2 linked regions of the Caenorhabditis elegans genome follow. The protein of the gene in region 2 interacts with the protein of the main gene of each other region in a pairwise test. Each region holds a gene or a part of one and is shown on either strand. Other genes may lie near its edges. The genes, in order: rpl-28 and F11A5.13.

What was found.
Region 1: the proteins of F11A5.13 (region 2) and rpl-28 interact in a two-hybrid assay, tested with the Caenorhabditis elegans proteins (one large-scale study listed by BioGRID).

What each region holds. Positions count from the first base shown.
Region 1 is NC_003283.11:12,727,070-12,730,378, forward strand, and holds rpl-28 (Large ribosomal subunit protein eL28), read right to left. Parts: upstream 1,044-3,309; 5' UTR 1,039-1,043; coding exon 837-1,038; intron 791-836; coding exon 612-790; 3' UTR 566-611; downstream 1-565. Other genes in the region: R11D1.13 (DUF148 domain-containing protein), read left to right, coding at 143-280, 323-433, 476-514; mrpl-49 (Large ribosomal subunit protein mL49), read left to right, coding at 1,562-1,688, 1,733-1,867, 1,909-2,063, 2,113-2,259; zfyv-19 (FYVE-type domain-containing protein), read left to right, coding at 2,452-2,511, 2,556-2,702, 2,760-2,936, 2,983-3,135.
Region 2 is NC_003283.11:16,225,448-16,228,678, forward strand, and holds F11A5.13 (uncharacterized protein), read right to left. Parts: upstream 1,235-3,231; coding exon 1,213-1,234; intron 1,160-1,212; coding exon 916-1,159; intron 864-915; coding exon 632-863; downstream 1-631. Other genes in the region: stdh-2 (Putative steroid dehydrogenase 2), read left to right, coding at 1-35; F21H7.2 (Calpain catalytic domain-containing protein), read right to left, coding at 1,707-1,824, 1,872-1,993, 2,042-2,120, 2,171-2,419, 2,467-2,569, 2,715-2,877, 2,924-2,980, 3,028-3,159 and 1 more.

The sequences.
Region 1 (3,309 bases), 3.5 Mb from region 2:
AGGATAATCCCAAAGAACCGATCCAAATGAGAAAAAATACCATGCCCTATAACCGGTTTCAACTGAACCTAAAATGTCGTGATCGACCTTTCGTCGAATGCATGCCCATTCAACGTTGAGCCGATTTGAGTGCTATTTCAACATGAAATTTTTGATTCTGTCCTTTCTTCTCGTATCAATTTGCTCTGGAGGTGGTGGATTCCCGATTCAAATGTTGACAAAATGTGGAATTTCAAAAGAAACCATTGATGGCGTTCAAAGTGTAATCGACGAACATTCGGTATTTTTAAAACGACTTCTTAGATATTGAAAAATTTTTCAGGCAATGATTAAAATTGCTAACTCGAACAAGCGTGCCAAAAAAACCGAAATCGATTCTTTGAAGGCAGATATTGATTTATATTTAGATGAACATGCATCTGACGACGACAAGGTAGGATTTCTAATCTAAATTTTACATATTTATTTTTTCCAGAAAAGATGGATTGAGTGCTTCACAAAGAACAACTCCTAATTGTCTTGATTTTTCACTTTTTTTTTGAATAAAAAATTTTAACGTGTTGATAAGCTGTAACACTTTATATTCATAACAACAACGTAACAAACGTCATTTATGCGTCAGTCTTTTGGACCTTAGCCTTCTTCACTTGGGAGCGGACGATGGCGGCGGCACGACGTTGAGCGAGCTTGTTGAACTTGTTGAATCCGGCGTTCTTGGCCAAGCGACGGACTGAAGCAACTGGGGTCTTGCTCAAGGTGGAGGTGGTGACGGCCTTGGCTGGTCTTCCCTCTGAGAAAAAACAGTGTAAAAAATAAATTTTTAAAAAATCTCTTACTCTCGTTCTTGGTAGATACAACGACTCCCTTGGCGGCGGCGCTGACGTCGATGGCGTGCTTGTTAGCGAGTCCACTGTATTTTGGGCTGTTCACCTTCTTGAGGTTGAACTTCTCAGTGGAGAATCGCTTTCCGATTCCGCGCTGGGTTCTGAGGAAAGCGCTGTTGTTGCGGATGACTTGCCACACGAGAGCGTCGGACATTTTACCTGGAAATAAATTATTTTATGATGAAAGTTAAATACAATAAGATACAACGGGAAACGTAAGAAAAATTCAATAAAATCAATTGTACACGTAGGTTTTCAAGCAAATTTAAGAATACAATTTTACAAAGTCCTAAATGTCATTTTTCCTGCTCAAACTTTTGACTGAAATGCATAAAAATTCGCTGATAAAAACAAGCAGAATACGCCAAAATAGTTGCAAATTATAAAATTTACAGAATTAATACAAAAAATTCGATATTTTACTCAAAAAAATGGAAAAAAAGAAGAAAAATAAATTAAACTTTCGTTGAGCTGGCCTAAAATCTAATAGCAAGCGCGCTCCATTGCCAAACGGTGTAAACGCGGAGCCTCGTTTGCGTGTAGTTTTTATCGTAAATCGACACAACTTCTTTCAAAATAAATTATTTCTTATGAGTAATTTTCTGCATTCTATTGTTGTGTTTCAATTAATCTTATTTTTAATTTGATTTTATTCAAAATTATATAATTTTATTAAGATGCTGGGTTCTTCTCTCCGCATTTTCTCCCCTCGAGCAGTTTCCAGGTTGTCTTTTTCAACAACTTCAGTCGAAAAAGCTGAGAAACTTTGGGAAAATCCATGGAAACATGCTCTCCCTGAAAAGTGTAAGTTATTTATTATCATATAATTTTTCTACTAGCAATTACAGCCAGAAGTCTTGCAACGGTCGAAGAAGCTCCTATCGATTGGTCGTATGTGGAAAGATTGATGCCAATAGAAGTGGTGCCGAATGTTCCTGAGCACGAAAAGTATCCTACACCAAGCGGATGGACACCACCGACAGGTATATACAGATTAAATTCATACCGCATCGAAATATTTCAGAAGCAGCCAAGACACATCAATACTACATTCGACGTCGTCATGACCATCTTCTTCCTCTTTATTTGGAACGAAAAAGGGATTTACTGAATGAGAAAACGTTGGATTTTGATTATGTCGAGCTAGTAACTATCAGAAACGTCGACGGAGACATTTTTGTAAGTTGGGAACATTATTAAATCCTGAATCAACATAAATATCTTTCAGGCTTGCGAAAATGATCTCCGCTCCTATCTTGAAGAACATCTTGGACATTCGATCGCCAGTCACGTCGATGAGTTGAAAGGTCGTATCAAAATTAAAGGAGCTCCACGTGTTCTTATTGAGCAATTCTTCTACAGCAAAGGATTCTAGATGTATTCTTGATATATCTTTTAGTTTTTTATCTAGGCAGATTTGTTTTGTTGTGAATTTATTGTTGGAGAATGAACTAGAAAAATTCAATTGTCTACTTTATCATTTTTACCTTCAAACCGGTTATTTCACCGTCATTTCCTTATTCTCTTCATTTTGTATCATTGCGAAATGCCGAAATTCTTCTCTAGAATGCCTTCCTCAATTTGTTGCACAAACTGCAGAACTAAATATTCATTATTAAACAGAGAAGTTATTTTCTGGCATCAAAAACTAATTAATTTCTATTTTTTCAGGCCGGCTGCTCGAATTGTGCTCTCTCCTTCTGTAAGAAATGTCTGCCTCATCGTGCAATTATTCCCACACTTTCGGATTTACCAATGATTGTCTGTAACAATTGCTATCAAAAATTGGAATCTGCCAAAATGAAGCCCAGCGCGACTGTAAGAAAAAGAACAAAGTAAAAACTAAATAGATATTAATCCCACGATTTTTTTCAGATAACATCAACGCCTCTACCAGATAATTCGAATAAATCGAATAAAAATTGGTGGGGTGATGGACTTCCACCGCCATCATTCAGGAATTCGCACACAAATCAAAATCAGATTAAAAATAGTGAAGTCAAAGCAACTAAATTCAGGAATTCGCCAGAAATTCCATCGCAGCAGACCAAGGTAATTAGCGTCACGGAATTTTCTTAATTTATTTTTCAGTTTTCAGCCAAATTATCCGACCAATGACCTGGAACAGCGAAGACTTAAACTGCGAGAAGATATTTCACCACAAATTGAACCACTCAGTATATCAGAAATTGAAGAACGATTAGCAAAACTTCGAGAATGTGATGTAGAAGTGATACGTAATCCTCAAAGTGTAAGTTGGACAAGGATGTTTTTAATTAAAAATGTGTCTTAAATATAGAAAATTACTTGATTCATCTGAAAATATAATTTTTTCAGTTGAAAATTTAAAAAAAAGTGTTTAAAATGACCTTAAAGTTACAAATTGCAGATAATCAAATTAAAGAGCTCTGTTTTCGGCAATTAA
Region 2 (3,231 bases):
CTCTTGCAAAGAGCGAAAATAAGCCTTTGGCGTAGACAATTAGTTGAAACCTTATCGAATGTCTTTTATTATTATAAAAATTGTTTTTGTTTCGAATTACTCATAGTCATCTAGATACATAGAACTGTTCTTGAGAGCAACGGTTTTTTCTAAATTTGGCTTGACAACTGTTTAAAATTCTGATAAAACACAACATCCCGGCGAGGTACGAAGCTATAAGTCTAAATTCATAAGCTTATTTGTCCCCTCGGGGACTGGGCCGAGCCCGGCAGCAGTGCAACGCCAGTACGACCCGCGGAAAGTCGGAGCAAGCCCCGAGTCTTTCCTAGGATCCAAAAATCATATAACCTTTATTACACTCATTCGAGTGTATACCGTAGGTTAATACGATAAGAACAGATACTACACTTTGATCTTAGCTAATAAGCCGAAGAAGCGATACTGAATGGATGAGGCGGCAGGGCTAGTCGGGAGCTGTGTACCGACAAATCAGGGGCGCGCGTGTGTCACTATGAAATGACAGAGGTGTGGGGAGAAGGTGGAGGCGCAGACAGAGACTGGTTGCCAGGCGTACATGAATTTATAAAACAAAAAATGAAATTTAAAAAAAAACAATTACAAAACAAAAAATTCAAACTTGAGCATCTGGGAAGTCTTCTGGCACCTCTTGAATTACATCCAACTCCAAATACATTTTAATTCGTGCCAGGCAGACTTTAACCAAACATTTTGTAAAAATACAAATGTACACACTTATGATTACTAGGCTTAATGCAAAACCGAATTTAAATATTTCCGGAACATTTGGAAGATCACCTTTTGCATTCAATACAATCAACTTGGCCGTCACTAAACAAATTGTGCTGAAAAAGTTAAAAATAATATTTAAAAAATTTGCGGAAGCTTAAAACTTACAAAGAAACTAATCCAACTCTCATTACAGCTCCAAAAGCTAGCAGCACCAGTGATCTCTGATCTTTATCCATTTCCAGTTTCCAAAAAATAACCTGATCGGATATTGTAAGGCAGGCTAGAATAATCATCCAGTATGGCACAAAAGTCTTATCAAATTCGTCCTTGTCCAAAATATTAATGAAACCGAGAATTATTAAAAGTAGAGAGGCAATAAGCAAAATAATCGATGATATAAAGCGATTAACTGAAAATTATAGAATTTTAAAATAGGTAATCAAAATTGAGAAATAAACTTACTACGATGGCACCAAGAACTCATTTTCTAAAAGTCAATGCAATATAATACAAGGTTACCAATTTAGGTAGTTTAAATCCTATTCTTATCAATTTACTATTCCTCATGTTTGAAATGACTCATCAATTGCAATTGCTTGATCGGAAGTCATGTCAATTGCCAGATTCACTTTTTTCTTCATGAAAAGTGTTAAAAACTTTGTAGTAGTGTTTCCATGCAGGCGCCAAAACGACTGCCGTGCCTGCCTTGCTGCGACCTCCACCTGCCTCGCAAGAACCATTAGGTGTCAGAACCTGAAACCGCACCTGTCTTTCGTGAAAGTCTTTATTCACTTTGTAGTTGAAGTTTCACAAAATATAGATTGTCAACACAGCTGACAAAAAGCCAAGTTTCGTTAAGTCTTTTTTTAATGCTTAATTCCTAAAAGGCGCCATGTAATGTCTTGCATAATTATTCAAAATCTGATTTTCCAAAACTTCAAAACCTTCATTCTACATCATTCAACGGTAGCAGAGCTATTACTTGGCGACGACTTCTTCTTTTTCATTTTCTGACCTTTCGGTGTGGGTTGGAAAGTCACAGTTGTGACTTTTTGAGCCTCTGATTGAACTCTCCTGAAAATAATTTTTGTAAGTTTATTAATGGCTAAAAGAATGCAAACCTTTTGTAAACAGTAGTCGTTGTCGGAAGCTTGAAAGACACAGGTTTGGTAGATTTCGGGTCTGGTCGGTCCTTAGCATCAGTTGGGAGTGGGTTTAAGTTGTATAACGTGTTGGTCCAGATCTTCAAAAAGCATTTGGTAGTTTTTTGGAAACTTTAAAAAAAACTTACTCTTTTATAATCCGAAAAGAACTCTTTATCTTTGGCACAAATTGCCTGCAAATCTTCAGAATACGGATTCAAATCTTCTCTGGAAAGTAAATACACCTGAGTTTCATTTAAAAATGTACAAAAACTAACGGCGCATCAGTCTGTCTTTCCAAAAACTTAAGTTTTCCACTGGTACATAGATCAACCGCGTCCTTTACGGTGATAACTTTGGCCGGTGGTGGCTTTCCATTATTACTCATCCAAAACGGGCGGCCTCCCGGAAACAGTTTCTCCGGATGACTTTTATCATCTTTGTTGGTGGGCATTGTTTTTGGCGCATAGTCACATGGGAGGCCGTAAACAGCTGTTATTTCAGGCTTGATGTTGGCTTGCTCCGGTCTGAAAATCTTGTTTTTTTTTTCATTGAAATCCCAATTCTGTCTTACGCAATAATAGAATCATCTCCGTTAAGGGTACTTGATTCGATGTTCGGATTCTTTCCCACATATTTCTGTTTCGCTTTCGAGATCCATGATTTCAGGAGTCCTTCTGAAAATTTATTTTTATGTCCTAATACTAGACACTTAGGTAGGCAGATAGGCATGCCGTGACAAGAAGGCAGGCAGGCGTGCAGAGAGCGCCTGCCGGCAGTAGCTACCAACAGCATGCAAGTACAAAATACTAAAGATCATACCCGTTGCATCTTTGCTAGGTGCCTTGTTCTTATCCTTAGCTGGAGGAGGCTGTGGTAGAGTTGTAGCAATGTTTTGAAGAGGCACGTAGTTCTTTCCAGTAGGAACTTGAGGGGTTGTAGCCACTGGAGTAGCGTTTTCAGGTTTGGCGGCTGCACTTCTTCTCTGGAAACAAAGAGCTATCTGATGAAAATTCAATTCGAAGACTCACCACACTTCCTTGTTGCCGTTTCTGCCTGTTGCTCTGTCCAGTTTTGGTTTTCTGGCGCTGGAAATTTGATGAAAACTCTAAAAATTTCAGCTTTATGTACTTACAGCACTTCCCCTGTCAGTTTTCTGTAGTTTTTCCTTTTTGACTTTTGACGGTCCTTTTGCATCTTTTGCCTTGTTATCGTCCTTTTCCAGTGTTTTGATCCTTTCCTTCTTTTCCTTCTTCTTGTTCTTTTTCTTTAAAAAAAGCTATATTAATAAATATTGTTCATCACGTCATTAACCTTGTCATCGTCATCATCTTCCACG